6 linked regions of the Oryctolagus cuniculus genome follow. The protein of the gene in region 5 purifies or fractionates together with the protein of the main gene of each other region. This does not show direct contact. Links are inferred from orthologs where the notes say so. Each region holds a gene or a part of one and is shown on either strand. Other genes may lie near its edges. The genes, in order: XRCC1, PARP2, HLTF, LIG3, RNF146 and CHD1L.

Region 1 (3,189 bases), on a different chromosome or scaffold from region 5:
GCTGCCCGGGACGGCACAGCTGCGAGGACTGGGCCCGCTCCCGCTGAACGTGCCCCTGAAACAGAGGGCAGCAGTCCTCCACCAGCTGCCCTGGGCTGCTTCCCGCCCCCTGGCCTTTGCACATGCCGCGGCCCCTGCCTGCTTGCCTGACACAGCTCAGCTCTCACTTGGAACTGGTAGAGCCTTGAAGGGCCCCCCTCCCACCCACCTCCTAAATGAGGTGAGGTGAAACCACACTGGTGATGCCCCCGGCGGCTTCTGGAGGCCCTGGGGCAAAGGGGAGGCCCCTGGAGAGCAGCACACCTCCCGGGCGTCCAGCCGTCCAGGCCTCCAGCCCACGGTCCACGGCGGGAGGACCGGGTGGCAGGACAGGCTCCCTGGGCTGCGGCACCATCAGATTCTCAGCTCCCTGCTCTCCCACACGGGCGGTGGGGCCGGGGAGAACAGGCAGAGCCCTGCCCCCCCAGACGGAGGGGCCATCTCCTCCTGGCCCCACGGGGGAGAGGAGACAGGCGTGGGGGACTCCTGTGTGCCAAGGGGCAGGTGCTGCAAACCAAGTCGTCTTTATTAAGCCCACCTCCCGTGTGCGTGTGCACATGTGCGTGTATGTACGTGTGTGCGCGTGTGCCCCGCACTCTTCAGGCCTGGGGCACCACCCCGTAGAGCTGGTGCGGAAGCAGCCTCTGCTTCTCGTTGCAACTGTAGATCCAGCGGGGGCGGACGAAGGCCAGGGACGGGTTGTCCATCAGGGCCTGCGGGTGGGAGAGGGGGAGGATGGGGTTCCGGAAGGGAGGGCTGCAGGACAATGAGGCCCCCCTTGTCTGCCCCTCTAGGACTCACCTCCTCAAAGCTGGGGTCCCACTCCTGTGCCGTGATCACGAACTGCACGCGGTCGCTCATGTAGTCCTCCAGCTCCCTGGCGGGTGGGGGAGAGGCTGTGGGCGGGGCCGGGAGCCGCGGGCTCCTCCTCCCACCCTCTGCCCCCTGCTGGCGGAGCCCGCGTTCTCCCAGAGGCCGGTGCGGCCGGTCAGTGACAGCGGCCCTTCAGAGCAGAGGACAGGGAAGCACCGCACGCAGGACTGCAGCTGTGGACAGCGCGGGCCCTGCGCTCCACGGCTCGCGCCCCCTGTGGACTACGGCCCTTCCCCCTCCCCAGCTTCTTCCTCCCACCACGACCCTGCGCCCTCCCACCCTCTGGAGACTGACCCGTTGAAGGCGGTGACGTATCGGATGAGCTTGCGCCGCTCGTCCCCGGGGAACTCCCCATACAGGAAGAAGTGTTTGCCCTGGAAGAAGTCTGCGAGAGGCGGAGAAGAGGCAGCGTGAGCCCCCGCCCCCACCAGTGCCACGACACCGGCCAGGAGCCAGAGAACGCTGGGCCCAAACGGGGCGGCAGGCAGTGGTGCCCAGCCCAACAGCGCCCCCCGGAGGCTGCTGGTTTGCTTCTCTGCTTGGAGGGAAGGCGCGATCCCGGGCCCCTGCTGGCGAGCCCAGAACCACGCTGCACCCACCTCTGGGGCTCCCTCCTCCCCAGGCAGCGTCCTCTCGCCCACCCCCGGGTGGCTTCCTTCCTCTCCATTCCCGTGACTTCCCAGGCCACCGACTGATGCTACCTGGGGGCTCTGGAGAATCAGAGTACAGCGCACCCCTCACCCATGAGGAGCCAGCTGCCAAGTTTGCTCAGTGGCCTGGGCCTCCCCTCCACCCAGGAGGCTCTGGCTCCTGCCCCCGCCACACCCGTGGCCACTGGTCCAGGATGATGACTAGTGTTAAAGTGAACAGGCATGCCCACCGAGGTTCCAATGGACAGCGGTGCCCGTGTCCCCCCACCCGACAGGTGCACCTGCGGGGGGTGGGTGAAGCACCAGCCCAGGCGGCCACTCACCTGGGGGACATGTCCAAGGGGTCACCCCTGGCACTGGGCTTGGAGGGGAGGAGGCAGAGGGGGTGGGGACAAAAGGGGATGTCATGGGTAAGCCACAGGGACAGGGAAGAGGCCTGGAGGCGGCCGAGGAGGAAGAGGGAGCCAGCAGTGAAGTGACCCCCGGACTGGCTGGGCCGGGTCAAGGCAAGAACGGACGGCACCGGCCCGCAGCAGGGACGGAGGGAGCCCCACCTGGGAGCTCAGGAACTGGCAGGTCGGGCGGCTCCGGCTCATCCTCGTTGTCCGTGTTCTCGTCAGTGGAGCCCGCGTACGGGTCCTCGCCGTTCTCGCCCTGGTCAGGGGGCCGCCTTTGGTCCTTCTGCTCCGCCACCCTGGGGAAGCCGAGGGGGTGCGGGTGAGCAGGTGGGGCAGATGCCCCGCAGCCCTGGAGCCCGGCCCTGACCCCAGCCCGGCCCTACCTCCTCAGCTCGTCCTCCGTGTCCCCAGAATCCTCGGCCCCATCGTCTTGTCCTGCGAGTGGGAGTCGGTGAGTGCCAGGAGGTGCTGTGTCTTCTGCAAGGCTGGAGCCCTCTCCCCACCTCGCCGCCTGGCATCTGGTGACCCGCCACCCACCCCCCAGACCCCTCTCCCCTTACACACGGGAGTCTGGATCTCCAGCCCTCCTCCCTCGGACCCAGGGGCCCCGGCCCCAGCCCTCCTCCCTCGGACTCTGACCTGACGGCTCCCCCTCAGTGTCTGTGTCATCCTGGGGAGCGGGTGAGGCTGCTTTGGTCTCTTTGGGGGTTGGAGGCCTCTGGGGTGAGCTGGGTCCAGCTGCCTGAGGGGGCCTGGCTTTGGTCTGGGGACGCTGAGGAAGGAGGGGCAGTGTGGGTATGTGGGGGGCTGGGGTGGGGAGTTGGGGCAACCACGTAACTCCCTGTCCCCCTCCCCACTGGCAGGGCCTTGGTCAAACCTTCCGGGGAAGCCTGGGGGCTTCGTCCCCACTGCCGCCGCTGTGAGAGCCACCCTCGTCCTCGCTGCTGGAGCTGGGTCCTGCCATGAGGTACCTGGGGGCGGGATGTGGAGTCCGGAGGGAGGCACGAGGCCGCTGGGGCGGCAGGAGCCCCGCATCCGGCAGGCGCTCGGGGCCTCTTTCCTGGCCTGCCCGCTCCACAGACCCCTGCTGTCCAGCTGCCCATCCAGGCCCCGGGCGTCCTCCCTCGCCTCCCTCCTCGTCCCGTTTTAGAAAGGGAAAACCAGACGGAAATCACTTTCCCTCTGGGAGCCAAAGTCGGCTTCTCCTGAGGACTCCTGCCAGCAAAGAC
Region 2 (3,581 bases), on a different chromosome or scaffold from region 5:
TGATCATGCTGATTTGTTACCTGCTCACTGTCGTCCTCTAGGAGCAGCACCAGCAGTCCTACTGCAAGTTTTCAGCTTCAATGGGCTGCTCTCAGTTTTTCTAATGGGAGCATCCCCCAATTTCCAGAAGCTCAATTTGATTTCTAAGCACCTCCTAGACTTCAGAGCCTGCATGTAACCAATTTAAACCCATAGGAACTCTCGGCCATTCACTAAGTTGTTTCTGGCTTTCTGAATGACAACTCACAAAATCTAGAATAAAATCATTACCTCGGCCCCATCTCATCCAAACACTGAAGTTCCTCTGGGCATCATCTTCTAATAGCTGAATCAGATAGTACTTGTTGTTGTTGAATTGGAGATTGGTCTACAATGAGCAAGAGAAAAACAAACATGAAAGGAGATAGTTTTGCAAATGGAAGTCACACAAACCAGACTGTTTCTTGCTAATTTTTACAAGGGAAAAGTTAGACATAAAGAATAAATTATGTCTATATATTAAGCTTGGGATTCTTAGGAATTAAAATAGGAACCTGGAATCTTCATTAAACCCTCTACCTAACCTCGAATATCCAGTATCAACCAATTAACCATCTCCTCCTGTTTTTTTTTTCTGCCTCAGCTCCCTTCATAGATTTTTTTCCCTAGGCCTTCTGTTTTTTTTTTTTTTTTTTAAAGATTTATTTATTTGAAAGGTAGAATTACAGAGAAGCAGAGAGAGAGAGAGAGAGAGAGAGAGAGAGAGAGATCTATCTATCTTCCATCTGCTGGTTCACTCCCCAAATGGCTATAATGGCTCGGCCTGGGAAGCCAGGAGCCAGGAGCTTCTTCCAGGCCGCCCACATTGGTGCAGGGGCACAAGGACTTGCACCATGTTCCACTGCTTTCCCAGGCACGTCAGCAGGGAGTTGGATTAGAAGTGGAGCAGTGAGGACTCCAACTGGCACCCATATGGGAGGTGAGCACTGCACGCAGTGGCCTTGCCCACTACTCCACAGCACCGGCCCCACCATCTGTGTTTTCTAATTCTCAATTCATTCCCAGTGATTAATTCTATTTCCCAAATGAAAATATTATAGGTGCTCCCTAGGTCTATAACTATTTGCTTGTTTGTTTAGATGATGTCTTCCTCTTTGATCATTCTACTTACATTTTTGATTTGTCTGCTGCAGAAGTTTGACAATGAGCTGACAGCAGGACAATGTGAGAAAGTGGAGGGGAGGAACAAAGAATTTGTAGAAAACATTGCTACATTTGTCCCATCTCTAATCTGACTCAACTTGGAGACATTCAGAGCGAATATGAGTATGACTAGTATCTACATTAAAGAGGTATCTGTAAGTCTCCAAGGGATGAGAGAGAGGAGTCCATAATAAAGCATGGCAGCAGGGGCTGGCATGCACCATGACAGGTTAAGCCACTGGCTGCTATCTGGCAATCCATTAGGGCACTTGTTCAAGTCCTGGCTGCTTCACTTCTGATCCAGCTCCCTGCTAATGTGCCTGGGAAAGCAGTGAAGGATGGCTCAAGTCTTTGGACTTTTGTACCCATGTGGGAGACCTGGAAGAAGCTCCACGCTCCTGGCTTCAGACCTCTCTCTCTCTTTTTCTGCCTCTGTAACTCCTTCCTCCCTCCCTCTTTAAGACATATTTATTTATTTGAAAGTCAGAGTTATATATAGAGAGAAGGAGAAGCAAAGAGAGAGAGAGAGAGAGGTCTCCATCCACTGGTTCACTATCCAATTGGCCACAATGGCCTGAGCTGCAGCGATCTGAAGCCAGGAGCTTCCTCCGGACTTTCCCACGTGGGTATAGGGGCCCAAGGATTTGGGCCGTCCTCTACTGCTTTCCCAGGCTGTAGCAGAGAGCTGGATTAGAAGTGGAGCGCCAGGTCTTGAACCAGTGTCCACTATGCCACAGTGGTGGCCCCCTCCATTTTTAAAATAAATAAATGAATCTTTAAAAAAATAAGTAGCTGGTGCCACGGCTCACAAGGCTAATCCTCCGCCTAGCAGCACCAGTACACCGGGTTCTAGTCCTAGTTGGGGCGCCGGATTCTGTCCCGGTTGCCCCTCTTCCAGGCCAGCTCTCTGCTGTGGCCAGGGAGTGCAGTGGAGGATGGCCCAAGTGCTTGGGCCCTGCACCCGCATGGGAGACCAGGAGAAGCACCTGGCTCCTGGCTTCAGATCAGCGCAATGCGCCGGCCTTAGCGTGCTGGCCGCGGTGGCCATTGGAGGGTGAACCAACGGCAAAAGGAAGACCTTTCTCTCTGTCTCTCTCTCTCACTGTCCACTCTGCCTGTCAAAAAAAAAAAAAAAAAAAAAAAAGTAAATAAATAAATAAAGCAAGTACAACAGCTAGTACTGGAAGGCTGAGCCTTGGTGAAGGCCAACTCCCTCCCATTCACATTATAAAGTCACTGGATATTAGAACAAAAAGAGGCCTTAATATATTTTCTATCCATTCATGATATGTTGAGTGGAAAAAGTAGTAATAAAGGAATACTAGTTGGTTGTTAAAATCTCCATGTTATATGAAATTTCTCAAAGCCAGTAAGAAAAAGATCATTAGAAAATGTAAAAAAGAATATAAATAGAGGGACCAGCATTGTGGCTCACTTGGTTAATCCTCCGCCTGCAGCCCCGGGTGCCAGGTTCTAGTCGTCCCAGTTGCTCCTCTTCCAGTCCAGCTCTCTGCTGTGGCCCGGGAAGGCAGCGGAGGATGGCCCAAGTGCTTGGGCCCTGCACCCGCATGGGAGACCAGGAGGAAGCACCTGGCTCCTGGCTTCGGATAGGTGCAGTGCGCCGGCTGTTGAGGCCATTTGGGGAGTGAACCAACAGAAGGAAGACCTTTCTCTCTGTCTCTCTCTCTCTCTCACTGTCTATAACCCTACCTCTCAAATAAATTAAAAAAAAAAAAAAAAAGAACATAGAGAGTTCACAAGTTCAATAAAAGATATGAGTTTGCAAAATGATTTGCTTCTCACAGAGCAGGTACAGAATGCCAGGGCTGAGTACTCAGGAGTTTACCCTGTAGTGGCTAATATAATGGACTTAATTAAAGGCCTTAATTAAATGATTAAAGATCTGGGCACTGAGATACTAGCAGCAGTAAACATCAAGAAACTCTGGTGGTCAACAGAATGGCTCCCTCATACCTGATTCAGCATGACATCATAGACCTCATTTCCTTCACTATACACGTGAGCCTGGAGAGGAAAAAGACGAGATCAGTATGGTCTCAGCCCTGACATTCAAAGTGAGGCGCTATGTTTTTCTTGTGCCTCCAGGTGTCACTTTCCATGGAACCTACCTGCCAGGGAAAGAAAGGCAAATATATGAGGGTACTTCAAAAAGTTAGTGGAAAATGGAATTCAAAATTAAGTTTATTTTGAAAGCTATGGGTATATGAAGGGTCTTTAAAAAGTTCATGAAAAGTGCATATTATGAAAAAATTATGAATGGATTTCAAAGTCTTTTTTTTATCAAAATAAACTTCTTTCCACATTCATCAGTAACTCATGCCATTACAGGGCAGTTTCTCATTTGAACACGAAGATGGTTCTCTCTTAATAATGACACC
Region 3 (3,581 bases), on a different chromosome or scaffold from region 5:
TTGTATTATGAGAGTTAAGCATAAAACTGATTCTCAAACAATATTTGTGTGTGTATGTGTGTGTGTGCGCGCGCGCAAATTGTTGAAGTCTTTACTTAGCATATGAGTTGATCTTCTGTGTACAAAGTTAACTGAAAATGAATCTTAATGGAGAATAGGACTGGGAAGGGAGAGGGAGGAGGAGGGAGGGTTGAGAAGGTCAGAATGGTGGGAAGAATAACTATATTCCTAAAGTTGTACTTATGAAATTTGTATTCATGAAATAAAAGATTTCTTTGGGGAAAAAAAAAGACTGAAATAACTGCAATACTCTGAAACTGTTCTCCTACCTCTCAATTTCAGCATTGAAAAAGAAATAAAAAGCCAACACCCATCCAAAGAATATAAGCCAACATCCATTAAAAGAATATAACAATCAACTGACAGGACTAAAAGCAGAATTATAACTTTGATGTATATTTCCTTATATAAATGTAAGACAAATACTCAAATATTTGCATATATTATTTTACCTTTGAACTAGATGTCCATTCCATATTGGACTTTTTCTCACTATCACATGCCAGTTCTTCTGGAGGACATTCCAATAAATTATCTCCATGTATATCATTTCTGCATAAAGGGCACTTTGCATGTGGCTATATAAAAACAAAGTATGAGCAACACTTACAAGATGAACAAAAATATCAATTCTATTATTTCTCACAACAAAATTTTATTAAACTTGTTACATTCATTATTTGAGAAAAATTTGCTGAAATCCAGACAGATACAGTGTTCTAATATGTGTGCTAAGTAAGATGGGTAAAGGAAGGAGCAAAAGTATTTACCCTTAACCAAGCACAAGCTTAAAACACTAATTTATACCAATTGCAGGCAAGTACAGAAACCATGAATACAATGCCTTGAATGAAACTAAAATAGATCATGCTATTTGGAGTTATTCTTTAAGAAAAAAGTCCTTGTTAATTACTTACACAGCTATTAGTTTGCAACATGTGTTGTATCCATTTGTACTAAGACCCACTAATAAAATAAGATTACACCTTAAAAACTAGACTCTAACCACCATTACAATAAAAAAGATTATGAAACTAAAATTGATGCTAGAGGTCAATGCAATTCAGAATCATGATAATCCATTTTTCTACATGTATGTTATACATCAATTTAAAAACCATAAAAAAATCTACTCTAGCTCAAGGATTTCAGGATTTTTTCAAAAAATTCTATACAAATTAATCTAGACCTTCCTTATCCAAAACAATAGCAATTAAGCCCTAGAAATGTGACTAAGCCAAATTAAGGTGATATAAGTGTACAATATCACCAAAGTTTGAAGACTTAGCTTAAAAAAAAAAAAAGAGGCAATGTAGTATATCACATGAATACTATTCACATTTCAGATACATTAAATTAAAATGCATTAATGATTAAATTATGTTTTTAATACAACTATGAGGAAATTTTAAATTCCCTGTGTCTCTCACAAATTATCAATATATTGTTAGACAGCAATAATCTAGACAGCAGAACTAGGAAACTGTGAAACAATGCCTCCAAAATAATATCTCTTTGTGTTAAAGAGCTTCACTAATGAGAAGTATATTACCAATTAAAGATTAGAATAATTAGCTACAAAAGTTGTACTATTAAATCCAAGTACAAAACTTCTTATACTCTCTTGAACTTGGGTTTTATTATGCTACAGACAGGTACACCACTACAGAGAACACTGGACCCGTACTGAGCAAAACACTAACCTGCTCATTCTGAATGACTTGGCAAATACAAGGTTTACAAAATACATGTGCACAATGTGTTATCACAGGAACTGTTAAAGAATCCAAGCATATAGCACATTCTTCATCTGAACCTGAGCTCAGAATTAACTTCATCTTCTTTATTAACTTCTTTCGCAGTTCTTCAGGTGTATCATTCCCTAGAGAGAAGGCTGAAAAATTAATTTCAAAGCAAGATTTGTACACGACTTGACAAATTAATCTACTGAAGAGAAAGGAAACTTTTGCTTGCCACTGCATCTTTTTCTGTCCTAGGCAAAAAGCATGATTTAAATTTGAAATTTTGTGAAATATTCAGAAGTATAGAAACCAAATCAATTTACCTCATAGAGAATTACCAATACACTACGATCTACACACACCAGCACAGACTAAAAGGCAATTCCAATGTGATTCTTTCTTTTAAGGGTATCTTAAAAGAAATCTGAAAATCCTGGAAAGACTTCATTATAATTCCATTTCATTGGTAAAAAATTCTTGGATATATTCCCAAATGTCCTATACCAAAAGCAATGTCCATCTGACAGCACAAAATGACCAACCAAATTCAGGCTATGTAAAAAATTTCTGATTCTGATTTAAGTATTTGCAAAAAATATAATGGCATGAACTAATCATATTTTCTTACCTGAGGGACCACTGGAAGACACTGTATTTGTAAGAAGATGAGTATGACAACAAATCTGCCGCAATCTAAGTAAAAGACCCAAGACATCTGCATAGTGTGCAAGGACAGTCCCTTCATTAAAATACCTAGAGATAAAAATGTTAAATATTATATATCCTCTAAACAACATCTCCTCTGAAAATCATTCTAAATTAAAAATGAAAAAACAGAAATTTGCAACAATAAAGCCCAACTTATGCAAAACGGCTATCAACTGCAGTAAAAGAACGATAGGAAAACAGAACTGCAAATCTGGAACAGACATGCATTTCTTCAAAACGGAATGGAAAAATTACCTCTCATGTACAAAAACAGAAACAGGGCACATGCCTGTTGACATGAAATTCTCTGAACAATTTTACACAAAGAGCAGGGAAGGCAAACTGAGTGAAGAAACACATGGATGCCCTGTGTTTTCAGAAACAAGACTAAGGGCAGGAGCTTCTTACCTTACCTGAAAAAAACTCTACTCCCCCCATAGACCCATCTCTGTGAATGGCATTTCCATCCTTCCATTCACATGAAAAACTTTGTGGAGTATCTATGACTCTTCTCTCACACACACCATATCCCACCAATCAGCAAGTTCTGTTGGCTCTGAACAGTCCAAACATTTCTCATCCATTTCATCACTATTACTATGGTAAACACCAACATCAACCCTTTGATTATTGGCAGTGCTCTCCCTACTGATGACCTTATTCCAACAATCTAAATCTGAACACAAAAGCCAGAATGATCCATTTAAAAGGTAAATCATGGAGCTGGCATTGTGGCACAACAGGTTAACCTGCCACCTGTGACACCGGCATCCTGCACAGGCTCCAGTTCAAATTCTGGCTGCTCCACTTCCTACCCAGCTCCCTGCTACTATGCCTGGGGAAGTAGCAGAAGATGGCCCAAGTGCTTGGGCCCCTGCACCCACATGGGGGACCTGGATGAAGCTCCTGGTTCCTGGCTTTGGCCCAGCCCAGCTCCAGCTGCTGAGGAATGAACCAGTGGATGGAAGATCTCTCTTGCTTTCTCTGTTTCTCTCTCTCTCTCTTTCTGCCTTCCAAATAAATACATAAATCTTCTTAAACAAAGTAAATCAAATTATGCCACTCTCCTGG
Region 4 (3,581 bases), on a different chromosome or scaffold from region 5:
GAGTGGGGAGCACCAGTCCCCTTCTGATGTGTGCTGAATTCCTGGGCTACCAGGTGCTAAATGGAAACCAGCCCAGTTATAAGTTGGTTCCTTTATGAGAGAAAAAAAATCTAAGCTCAAGGTTAAATTCAGAAATAGTTCAGAAGCAAAGACTAAACTCTACCCTAAGTGACATATTCTCTTTGCAGAATGACAGCACGCACACATGCACACTTTGTTCTCACACATACGGCCCCAACCAATACCTTGTGCACTCCCAGAGTCCCAAAAGGCAGTGGTTTTCCTGTGTTGTTGTCAATCAGGAGCACCTCAGAGTCCAAGATCATGCTGTGGCCCCCAGGGAAAGCCTGAGGGATGTAGTCCTTAAAGTGAGCCACCTGGAAGCAGGAAGGCAGCCCTGGTGAGGGGTGAACGGTGACAGGGACCTGCAGCCAAGCCCCAGAAGGAACACAGAACAAGGGATGGAAGCCCAGCCACAGGACAAGAGCGAGAGAGGTCATCTCGGTCACTCTGTCCAGACCTGGGAGAAGCTCAGCTAACATGGAGTCATCCTCTGTGGGATGCAGAACAGGAAGGGTTTTGGAGAAAAATGGAAGAAGCTGAGGAGGAGGAGGGAGGAAGGCAGGAGCAGGCAGAGATCAGTGCTCCTTGTAGAGGACAGACCTCAGGATGAGGAATGGGACAGGGAGAACAGACTGGTTAAAGACAAAGGACAACAAAAGGAGAGCAGGGTCTTTAGAATGAAAAAGAATATCTGGAACTGGACTTCTCTTGATGGTGGCACAGTCCTCATTCATGACAGCATCAGATAGGAGAGGTCCCACTGTAAGCCAGATAGTCCCTCCCAAGTGAGACCAGCAAGGGGTCCGGTCCCAAGTCCAAACCTGGCCACAGCAAACAGGCCGTCACCACCAGGAGGCTTGAACAGGATCAGCAAAGGCCTGCCCTTCCACCCCGCTCCCTTCAGTCCCCAGCCCAGCCCTTTAAAAACCAAAAACCTAGGCGAGGATGTGAACCTTGCTAAAGGGAAAGTGGGAGTCAGACATCTTCCTGCGTCACAGGAAGTACCCGTTTAACACCAGCCTCTCCAGAGCAGCTCCCGAGCGGCTGCGGCGCTGCACAGACAACTGAACCTGAACTCATGTTCCACGTGAGGTCACTGCTCGGCTCCCTCTGGAAGTCCTGCTTTGTTCCTAGCGCTCCAGCACAAATTAAGGCTGAAGTAAGCACCTGCCCACACAACACATCCTGCCAAAGGCCAGCGGTTTGAAAACCCGAGTTGGAGCTGGGCAAGAAGGAGGCAGCAAAGTCAGGAATCCCCCCACTCCTAAGCCGGTCTGGGAAGGACTGCGCAGTGGGCTGCTCAAGCTCTGTGGCAGCCGGTGGTGTCTGTAGATGTCCCCATGGTTACGTGCTTCTGTCAGAACACATGCTTCCTGAGGGCTGGAACTCTTGTCCATTTCCTTCAGTGCTACCTGTCCACTAGCTACAACAGTGCTAGAACATTGGATAAATATTTGCTGAGCAAATTAACGAATGCCAGTCCAACAGCTCCTCGGACACAATCCTCATCTAGCCCAGGAACAGCACACAGGTCATGGAAGGGCAGAAGACGTGCACAGCGACTCACCAGCTGAGCTCCCTGTCCCAGCAGCACTGAGGGCAAGATCCCTGTCCCAGTGAGCTCTCCTGACAAAGCCAAGGTTGGGCTGTGGCTCTCCATACTGAGTAGCTCTTTGTTATTGGAAGAGTCCAAAGAGGAATTCACTCACTCAATAAACAAACCCTAACGTGTCCCAGAGCTGGAATGCCTATGGAACTCTGGCCCTGAGATTCTCAAAGGCAGGTGGGACAGAGTCCTGGCGAGAAGGGAGAGACTCATACCTTGTGAGGCAGGACGGGTTTGAGACTGCGGCTGAAGTAGCTGAAGTGGTCGCCATTCTTATGCACCTGGACTCGCTCGCCATCGTACTTGATCTCGGAGAACATGCCGTTGGGACACTTCTTCATTGCGTACTCGATGGACTTGCAGGCCTCAGCCTTAGGGTAGGGAAAGCAAAGCCTGGAGCCTTTGAGCAACGGGCTGCTTAGCAAGGACAGCCAAAGAGCAAGGAAAGGGTTGTTCAGATCCTGGGACCACATGGCCCAGTGTAGGATCAGACAGGCTGCTGACGAGGTGATGGGAACCCGAGGGGCTGGGCAATGTTGGATTCTGACTACAAAGTCCTCACCAGAGCTGACATCGACCTTGCATTTTAAGAAATGTGAATGTTACTCGTTGTAGAACAAAATTCCATGGCAACAGGCCTATTTTTCTCAATAATTTAGACTCTTGCCTGCCTCTGGCTTTTTACTAGAGCCATCAGTTATCTCAGCACAAGAGGGAAGTAGAGGTAAGGTGGCTGGTGGGGAACAGCAGTTAGGGATCCCCAGGATAGGGCACTCAGACGCAGGGGTGCTCACGTACCTGTGCCAGGTACTCAAACAACAGCAGCTGCCATTGGGATCACACCCCTCCTCGTATTTCCTCCCTGCTGTGACACCTTATGTGACAAACACGGTTTCCGTTTTATGGATGAGAAACTGCAGGTCAGTTACATGGCTAGTGAATAGCAGCAGTAAGATCTGAATCAAGGCCTAACTCCAAAGCCTGTGTGGTTAACAGCACTAAGCTGTACAACCTATGCTAGTGCTTCAAGTGTCAGGCCACAGAGAGTCGGAAGGAATTCTTCCAGCAGCCTTGGCAGCAAGATCTCACTAATTTGGTGATGGCTATTCTCACATTCCTAGTGGGGAGAGAACATTTTCCTCTCCCAAACACAGAACCTTATGCTGGAGCTTTAATGTAACGTTAAGGCAGTTCCAGAAAAAGCATTGTACGCTCTGGGAAACCCAGAGTCTCACAGCAGACAGGGTAGTGGACAGGGTGGGTGCCAATGCACAGGGGAACCACTGCCAGAAACGACATGGACTTCTCATGAAAGGAACAGACGCCCCTTAAGCTTCCTCTCTCCCCAGGCCATCCCGTTACAGGAAGCCTCTGCTGCCCACTCTCAGAGCTACTTCCCAGCAAGACACAGAGCCTCAGAGGTTACTTACATATCCACGTGTCTTCAGGTAAGATAAAGCACCTGAGACGATGCTTCAGAGAATCACACATGCCACTCACACAAGAAAACTAGTCTGAGGAGGATACACAACTCATCTAACAGTCCACAGCTTGGTGGTGGCAGAGCTGGGACTGGGTTCAGGTCCTCCCACAGGATCGCCTGTCTTCTGCTTTGCTTCCACACTCCCATCAAGAAATGCTCCCTCACATCTCCACTCTCCTCAGACCTCTCCGGTCAACTCACACGAGCTCAACATTCACAGCCAGGCAGACCTCACTGTGAGGGATGTGCAGCTTGGAGAGGCGTAGGCAGCAGAGGCAGGGGCGTGCTCCTCACCAGCATGGGCTGCACAGGCGTCATCAGAGAGGCCTGGACGCTCAGAGCCCGTTTGCAGCCTGGCTCCTTCTCCACCTCCTGCTCATTGCGCAGGACCCGCTCCACCACGTCCTGCAGGTTGCGCGAGGCTTTGAA
Region 5 (4,207 bases):
TGGCCCAAGTGCTTGGGCCCTACACCTGCATGGGAGACCAGGAAGAAGCACCTGGCTCCTGGCTTTGGATAGGCGCAGCGCGCCAGGCCATGGCTTCCATTTGGGGAGTGAACCAATGGAAGGAAGACCTTTCTCTCTGTCTCTCTCTCACTAACTCTATTAAAAAAAAAAAAAATCAAGTCCTAAAGGTCATAATTGGAAAAATTTAAACTTATTTGAAACAAATGAGGTCCAACAATTTATTTTAAAGAATTATTTCTCTTATTATGTATCACTCCTTTTAAAAATACTACTGTATGGCAATCTATTTACTGACTTCACAATCTTCACACATAAGCATTACAACTTTAAATCCTCCCTAGAGAAAGTAGGTTTTGCATTTCATTTAAATAAAATGTGAACAAAAACTGACTTTAATTAACACATGTAAGTATCATGGCAAGCAACCACTTTGCAAATAACAAAGACTCTTGCTAATTATCTGTGTGACCTTGTCAAGTCATGATTCTCATGTCTTTTACCAGATTCCTCTATTCTGTAATTCCAAATTTTAAATCTTTAATTAACAGGCATTTAGCAATAGGTTTTATTTTTATTAACGCAAAGATAATATAGGCCGTGAGTACTACATAAGAATTTATAAGCAAACACAGGTGGCTGTAGCCTAGTTTTAACAAGTAGGTTTGTAGAGTCAAACTAATCCAGCATGTTTAAAAATTCAGATTCCTCAAGTCACAAGGCAATCAAACTAGGCAAGAAAATGCCAAAGGCTCAGTACTTTCTATTACTAGTACTAGAGAAAAACAACCAAACAACAACAAAACACACTCAAATTCTCAACTGACAGTGTGTCAGGTATTTAATACCAGTATATCCTTAACACATAAAACTATATTCTTCAACCAGATCAATGTTTTGGAAAAAATCAATAATATCTAAGTCAAGAAATTATTCTTGATCCTTTAAAAAAAAAATCTGCCTCCTTTCGTCTGACAACTCAAGTTGGCAGAAACTAAAAAAAAACATTTTGCCAGTTGACCTAACTCCTAAAGAAAAAATACCACCTTTTTTTTCATCTTGCCTGATGACTGGCTATTTGGAGAAAGTTTCCTTGTCAGCCTCTTAACAGACAAATCACAAAAAAATCTTCAAATGTTTAAGCGCCATTATTTTCATTTTGTCCCAACTTACATTACATTAGCTCATTTGACACTTAAACTATAAACCAAAAATAGGACTTAAAATGGTCCACTTTAAGATACACAAGGCCAAAACAAACATGATCAAAATCTATTTTTAGAGTGCTATTCACTCTTCAAGTTTTCTCTTTAAAATGAGGTTTACTTGAACTATTTTCATGCGTTTTCACAGCACCCAGACTCTGAACACAAATATCTGCTAGTCAAAAAAACAACAAACTCAACATCACAAATCCTATCTGTGGGGGTCATTTTCTGTGTGTGTCCTAACATGCTTATTCAAAAGTCTAAATATAGATGCACTTACTAAAATGTCCAAGGTCTTCCAAAATCTGTAATTATATACTGCTTTCAGTGCCAACGTTATACATCCACTTCCCACTTAAAAGTGTACACTACACGTACGGGGTCCGGTGGGGGTTGGGGAGTTGCGGGGTCCCTGGCACCTGAAATGTCAATCACAGGAAGAACAAAGCGTTTTCTATCCTTTCTTGGTTTTCTTCTCCCCTCAGTTCCACAGTTTCAATATAAACCAACAGGAAACAAGACGTCCCAAACTTGAGAAAGAAGGGCTCACTAAAATGGCACTCGGACAAGAGAAATATAAAAACAGGGACGGAAATGATGAACATGAAAAAAAAAAAAAAAAAAAGCGAATCTAGTTGCCAACATGTGTGTGTATAAACTTAATCCTGGAGTTACTCCCTGCGGGAAAGGACGGTGCCCTCTCCACACCCTCAAAAAGCAATGCTGCAGCCTCTCAGAAAACAAAATAGCGACCAGAAGGCAAGAAAGACCAGCACTCTCGGACCAACTGGACAGCAGGGAGGGACCTCCGCACCCGGCAACCAGAACAAAGCAACCACCTCCGCCGAGAAGCCGCAGGGAGGTCGGGCAGGCTCCGAGGCTCTCGGAGCTCTCTCGCGGTCCCCAAGAGTCCACAGCCGTCCAGACAACCGTGAATGTGCAGCGCTGAGTCTCGCCAGGACAAGGTGGGGCAGCTGCTCCCTTCAATGAGGCAAGACCCAGACGCTAAGCAGAAGCAGCAGTGGTGGGGAGAGAGAGAGAGAAAAAACAGCAGCCCAAGGCGCTCGGGATCACACAAAACGCGGGCACTCCATGTCCTAGCTTGCATCGGACCCCAGGCCCAAAGTCTCTGACTCCACACGGGGAACAGGTAACCCCTAAAGCATCTGGGTCCCTGCACCTTGAGGCCAGCAGGTCCCTCGGCAGAGGCCTGACCCCACGGCCGAGGAAGAGGAGAAGGACCCGGCGGCCACCAAAGACGGCGACGCGGACCCGGTCGAAGAGGCTGCGCAGTAATGGCCGCTGCCCTGCCTCTCGCACCTCGGCCCAGGCCAGCTCCGGCATCGCCACCGCAGGGGCTGCGGCCAAGCGGCCATGCAGAGGCCGTCACAGTCTTCGTGCCTGCGACAACAGCCTGAGCGGGGGCGGCAGGGAGGCCGCAGGGCCCCTCCCGCCTCCCGGCCACAGCAGCTACCGAGCCGGCCAAGGGCGTCCATCTACGTACCGGGCCCTGACCCCGCCGCCGCCCCTCTCCGGGCCCGACAGCAGGCCGACCGGGGCGCGTCGAGCCTGCCGGAGGCACCGCGAGTCGTGCCTCTTCCCCCCGAGTTTGGATCCCGGAGCAGCGGGCCTTCGCCGTGACCTCCGCGAGGGCGGCGCCTCGACTCCCTCCTCTCCGGCCACAGCCCCGGCCACCTCGCCGTCTTTTCTCTTCGGCCTCGGAGCCCGCAGCGGCCGGGGACGCGCGCGACCGTCACGTGACCGCCCGGCGCGTCGCGGGGGCGGGGCCGCGCGGGCCGGAAGTCGCGCCTCGCGCTCGCAGAGCTCGCGCCCGAGCCTCCCGCCGCGGGCCCAGGCCCCGCCCTCGAGCGCGCCGCCGGTACCCGCCCTCTCCACTTGCGGGAACCCGCCGTCCAGCTGCTTGGATGCTCCTGATCTCTTAGGTTTTGCCTTACTCGTATTAAGGGCAAGGAGCCCTGAAAGCGTGCAGATCCTCAAGGGAGAGATATTGCGTAGGGGAAGTAAGACGCGGGCACTACCAGCAGGTGGTGCTATTCAAAAATCCAATTTAAGACCCCAGAGAAGCCCTGGGGCGCCTAGCTGAGCTCTGGGTTGAAGACCCCTTCTGAAAGTACCGCTTGTTCTCTCAAGAAATAAAACCTTCTGAATGGCTGGGCAGTTTATGCAGAGGGGAAAAAATGGATTATAACCATGTTTTGGACCAATGCTTCTTAATAGAATCGAGCTAAGACGCCAGAGGAAGAAATTAATCTTCGCAAGAATCTGAAATTAAACGGGCAAAATGAATGCGAGCATGTGGTTTTAAACTTCAAAACACTGGCCGTGTTCTCCGTTTTAGCACCTACATTGCGTTTTTCCGAAACTGACTAAATGAGCTTGATATGTGGTAAAACGAACGAACAGGAGGGGAAAACGTGTCCTTTATCTTGAGTATATATTTCAACCTTCCACTGCAATGTCTTTCAGTGATGTTGCATTTTTGAGATTAGTGGGTGCAAGATTGGAAATCTTCCATGTCTTGATACATATAGAAAGCTGTACATTTTCCGTTATTCCCCTGAAATAGTTTATTTTGGGATCCTAATCATGGGTGAGGGGCATTCAAAAGGTACATGGAAAAAAATCACTTTTCTTTTAATGCCATTTCGACGAACTAGTATAGAATACTAATGAAGTCAATGTCCTCCAACTTTAATTCTCTACCTTCTTAGCCACCCGGTTTTACTCCTCTATCCTACACAACCCATGAACAGATAATGTACTTTAAGATTTCTGCTTGAAGAGAGAATTCTAATATTAACTAACAATTGGTAGTTAATGTGCTTTACATATATAACCTCATTTAATCCTGACAGTAAACCATGAGGTAGCTACTATTATTATTTCATTTTACAGAAACAGGCACCCATCTGGGATTTAACTTCAGTGGGAGGCTACAATAGAGTTCAGCTACTCCAGTT
Region 6 (3,581 bases), on a different chromosome or scaffold from region 5:
TTTACCCTTGAGAGCATTTACAAAGTAAATGTTTTTCACTATGGAGGTTCCTGGAAAATTAAAAATAGAATTACCATATGATCCAGCAGTCCTCCTCGCGGGTATATATCCAAGAGAGAGGAGATCAGCCAAAGAGACATCTGCACTCCTGTGTTTATGGTAGCACTAGTCACAATAGCCAAGAGATGGCACCAACCCAGCTGTCCGTCAGCTGATGTGTGGGTGAGGAACATGTGGTACATTTGTATAATGGAGTGCCACTCAGTCATAACGGAGCATGGAATCTTGTCATTTGCAGCAACACGTATGCAACTCCTAGAGGTCATCACATTCAGTGAAATAAGCCAGCACAGAAAGACGAGAACTGCACAATCTCACTCATGTGGTGGCTAGAAAAGTTTATTGTAGATGTTGACAGTGTAACGGGGGTTGCCAGGGCTGGGGAGAGTGTGACTGATGGTCCTGTATTATAAAGTTAGATATGGATAAGAAGTTCTGATTTTCTGTTGCACAGTAGAGCAGCAGTAGATAATGGACTGTGTTTCTCTCAAAAACTGGAAGGATTTGAATGTTTGTACCATAGAAATGATAAATGTTTGAGGAAATAGTTATGCATATTTCTATACATATATAAACATAATTTTTTTAGTTAAAGGGGGAAGAAGTACATGCTTTGGACTCTGGTTTTAATATCGTTTTATTTATTTGAAAAAGTTGCACAGAGAAGGAGAGGCAGAGAGGTCTTCCATCCACTGGTCACTCCCCAATTGGCTGCAACAGCTGGAGCTATGCTAATCCAAAGTCGGGAACTTCTTCCGGGCCTCCCACGTGCGTGCAGAGGCCCAAGGACTTGGGCCATCTTCTACTGCTTTCCTAGGCCATAGCAGAGAGCAAGATTAGAAGTAGAGCAGCCGGGCCGGCGCCACAGCTCAATAGGCTAATCCTCCGCCTAGCAGCGCCGGCACACCGGGTTCTAGTCCCGGTTGGGGCGCCGGATTCTGTCCCAGTTGCCCCTCTTCCAGGCCAGCTCTCTGCTGTGGCCAGGGAGTGCAGTGGAGGATGGCCCAGGTGCTTGGGCCCTGCACCCCATGGGAGACCAGGAAAAGCACCTGGCTCCTGGCTCCTGCCATCGGATCAGCGCGGTGCGCCGGCTGCAGCACGCCGGCCACGGCGGCCATTGGAGGGTGAACCAACGGCAAAGGAAGACCTTTCTCTCTGTCTCTCTCTCTCACTGTCCACTCTGCCTGTCAAAAAAAAAAGAAGTAGAGCAGCCGGGACTCAAAGTGGCACCCATATGGGATGCTGGCACTGCAGGCGGTGGCTTTACCTGCTGCTCCACAGCGCCAGCCCCTTAATGTCATTTTAAAAAGGAAGAAAGGCCTACATAAAGTTACCAGAAAATCAGAATGGAAATGATGGGGCATGAGGGCAGACATTTAGTAGGGTAGAGGAGGCAGAACATCAAGAGCTGGATTCATAAAGGGCTGTGTCCCCTCCATGGGCAGGTCCCTCAGGTGGCCACATAGCTGTCTCATGGCACTCCTTTAATGGTTGTTCTTCCTAGTTGGCCTTGGTCGTGGCTCAGCACCGTGATCGCTCCAATGTCCTTTCTGGCATTAAGATGGCAGCCCTGGAAGAGGGCCTGAAGAAGATATTTTTAGCAGCAAAGAAAAAGAAAGGTAAACTTTTAACACCTTGCTCAGGTGTCAATGAACTGTGACTTAAGTTTGGAAGGGAGGTGAGAAGTCTTAAGACCCCATTCAGCATGCATGGTGAGGGTAAACCACGGGAGTAAGAAACCCCTCAGCTTTTGTTTTACAGCTTTTCCTTTGCGAGTCATTTTTATACCCATTATCTCTGCGGACCATCGCCATCTGCTGGGTATTTTTATCGTGATTTGACAGATGAGGAAGCAGAGCAGGGCAGATGAAGTAACTTGATCATGTGCTGTTTATTGTCTCTGCCCTTGGAGAGACGTAGTCCCCAGTAACATACACTGTCTGCCAAAGGAGTTGAGTTTAGCTTCTAAACCAAGTGTTTCAATGTTTATGGAATTGATTAGCTTGTTAGATACTCGTTGCTTATTTTAATTGTGACTCCACCATCAATCATCTTCCATCTCCTTATTCGCAGAGCCTCCAGCTCCTTGTGCTCAATAGAATTACTCATTTTTTCCCCTATTACAGTCCCTCCCCAGATATTTTTGGCATTGTGATTGTATTCTTTGAGTGGAACTTTCAGTTATTTTCTCCTGTGTGTATTTTGTAACCATCAATGAACTTTTGATGAGTGAAGATGTCATGATCTCTTTTTTTTTTTTTTAATAGCAAGTGTTCATCTGCCACGTATTGGACATGCCACAAAAGATTTTAACTGGTATGGTACTGAGCGACTTATTCGGAAACACTTGGCAGCACGAGGCATCCCAACTTACATGTATCCTTTTGTGTGTTATCTAATGGTATGTTTTCTCAGCTCAAGGGGGATAATCTGGTGCATTTTCTGGTGCTGTTCTGTCATCCAAGGCCGTACCCTCTCCTGCCACTTTCTTCCTTCTACTCTTCTTTAGGGAGCCACAAGCCAACACTTTCCAAGTTGTCTGTATCTAATGTATACACCGAAACCTTCCTGGATGCCTGCAGATTAAAAGATACGTGTAGGGGAGAAGTAATGGAACAATTGCCATTTTGTAATGTACTAGGTAGCTTCAAAAAGTTCATGGAAAATGAAGTTAAGTATTTGGGTTCAAAAAACAATTTTAAATTTATACATACAAAAGTCTTATTATGTAGCAAAATAAACTTGCATTTACTTGGAAGGCAGTGCAACAGAGAGGTAAAAAAAGATCTATTATCTGCCAGAGCTGGGCCAGGCTGAAGAACTCCATCTGGGTCTCGCATGTATGTGGCAGGGGGCCAAGCACTTGAGCTCTTATCCACTGCCTCTCAGCATGCATTAGCAGGGAGTTGGTTTGGAAACACAGTAGCCAGAACTCAGTGGGCACCCTAATAGGGGCTGTGGGCATTCCAGGCAGCTGCTTAACCCCATCAACTGTCTTAATTCCACCTGTCCATGAACTTTTTGAAATTCCCTTGTGTTGAATCTTTTTCACATCACTTCCTTAGCGACTCTTCCAATCAGTGGACCAAAGCCTAATTCTTTTTTTTTTTTTTTTTTAATTTATTTTGACAGGCAGAGTGGACAGTGAGAGAGAGAGAGAGAGAGAAAGGTCTTCCTTTGCCGTTGGTTCACCCTCCAATGGCCGCTGTGGCCGGTGTGCTGCGGCCGGCGCACCACGCTGATCCGATGGCAGGAGCCAGGTGCTTCTCCTGGTCTCCCATGGGGTGCAGGGCCCAAGTACTTGGGCTATCCTCCACTGCACTCCTGGGCCACAGCAGAGAGCTGGCCTGGAAGAGGGGCAACCGGGACAGAATCCGGCGCCCCGACCGGGACTAGAACCTGGTGTGCCAGCGCCGCAAAGCGGAGGATTAGCCTAGTGAGCCGTGGCGCCGGCCCAAAGCCTAATTCTGAGCCCATCATTCTAAAACAAACCCTTTACCTAAATCAGTGAACTATTTTAT

Evidence for each region.
Region 1: the proteins of RNF146 (region 5) and XRCC1 purify together in Homo sapiens (co-immunoprecipitation; 3 studies listed by BioGRID and IntAct, with this or other methods). This does not show direct contact. The link is inferred for Oryctolagus cuniculus from reciprocal best matches to the Homo sapiens genes RNF146 and XRCC1.
Region 2: the proteins of RNF146 (region 5) and PARP2 purify together in Homo sapiens (affinity purification with mass spectrometry; 4 studies listed by BioGRID and IntAct, counting the BioPlex papers as one, with this or other methods). This does not show direct contact. The link is inferred for Oryctolagus cuniculus from reciprocal best matches to the Homo sapiens genes RNF146 and PARP2.
Region 3: the proteins of RNF146 (region 5) and HLTF purify together in Homo sapiens (affinity purification with mass spectrometry; 4 studies listed by BioGRID and IntAct, with this or other methods). This does not show direct contact. The link is inferred for Oryctolagus cuniculus from reciprocal best matches to the Homo sapiens genes RNF146 and HLTF.
Region 4: the proteins of RNF146 (region 5) and LIG3 purify together in Homo sapiens (co-immunoprecipitation; 3 studies listed by BioGRID and IntAct, counting the BioPlex papers as one, with this or other methods). This does not show direct contact. The link is inferred for Oryctolagus cuniculus from reciprocal best matches to the Homo sapiens genes RNF146 and LIG3.
Region 6: the proteins of RNF146 (region 5) and CHD1L purify together in Homo sapiens (co-immunoprecipitation; 3 studies listed by BioGRID and IntAct, counting the BioPlex papers as one, with this or other methods). This does not show direct contact. The link is inferred for Oryctolagus cuniculus from reciprocal best matches to the Homo sapiens genes RNF146 and CHD1L.

Annotation. Positions count from the first base shown.
Region 1 is NC_091449.1:12,350,156-12,353,344, reverse strand, and holds the end of XRCC1 (DNA repair protein XRCC1), read right to left. Parts: intron 2,932-3,189; coding exon 2,838-2,931; intron 2,733-2,837; coding exon 2,600-2,732; intron 2,396-2,599; coding exon 2,344-2,395; intron 2,257-2,343; coding exon 2,117-2,256; intron 1,298-2,116; coding exon 1,207-1,297; intron 917-1,206; coding exon 841-916; intron 753-840; coding exon 639-752; 3' UTR 548-638; downstream 1-547. UniProt on the Homo sapiens protein: Scaffold protein involved in DNA single-strand break repair by mediating the assembly of DNA break repair protein complexes. Negatively regulates ADP-ribosyltransferase activity of PARP1 during base-excision repair in order to prevent excessive PARP1 activity.
Region 2 is NC_091443.1:54,400,951-54,404,531, forward strand, and holds part of PARP2 (poly [ADP-ribose] polymerase 2), read right to left. Parts: intron 3,208-3,581; coding exon 3,157-3,207; intron 368-3,156; coding exon 271-367; intron 1-270. UniProt on the Homo sapiens protein: Poly-ADP-ribosyltransferase that mediates poly-ADP-ribosylation of proteins and plays a key role in DNA repair.
Region 3 is NC_091435.1:132,424,248-132,427,828, reverse strand, and holds part of HLTF (helicase-like transcription factor), read right to left. Parts: intron 2,556-3,581; coding exon 2,431-2,555; intron 1,955-2,430; coding exon 1,764-1,954; intron 639-1,763; coding exon 513-638; intron 1-512. UniProt on the Homo sapiens protein: Has both helicase and E3 ubiquitin ligase activities. Possesses intrinsic ATP-dependent nucleosome-remodeling activity; This activity may be required for transcriptional activation or repression of specific target promoters.
Region 4 is NC_091448.1:39,284,532-39,288,112, forward strand, and holds part of LIG3 (DNA ligase 3), read right to left. Parts: coding exon 3,447-3,581; intron 2,041-3,446; coding exon 1,885-2,040; intron 378-1,884; coding exon 246-377; intron 1-245. UniProt on the Homo sapiens protein: Isoform 3 functions as a heterodimer with DNA-repair protein XRCC1 in the nucleus and can correct defective DNA strand-break repair and sister chromatid exchange following treatment with ionizing radiation and alkylating agents.
Region 5 is NC_091436.1:42,374,709-42,378,915, forward strand, and holds the start of RNF146 (E3 ubiquitin-protein ligase RNF146), read right to left. Parts: upstream 2,871-4,207; 5' UTR 2,731-2,870; intron 1,646-2,730; exon of another isoform or gene 1,507-1,645; intron 1-1,506. UniProt on the Homo sapiens protein: E3 ubiquitin-protein ligase that specifically binds poly-ADP-ribosylated (PARsylated) proteins and mediates their ubiquitination and subsequent degradation. May regulate many important biological processes, such as cell survival and DNA damage response.
Region 6 is NC_091438.1:49,981,793-49,985,373, reverse strand, and holds part of CHD1L (chromodomain-helicase-DNA-binding protein 1-like), read left to right. Parts: intron 1-1,564; coding exon 1,565-1,679; intron 1,680-2,327; coding exon 2,328-2,436; intron 2,437-3,581. UniProt on the Homo sapiens protein: ATP-dependent chromatin remodeler that mediates chromatin-remodeling following DNA damage.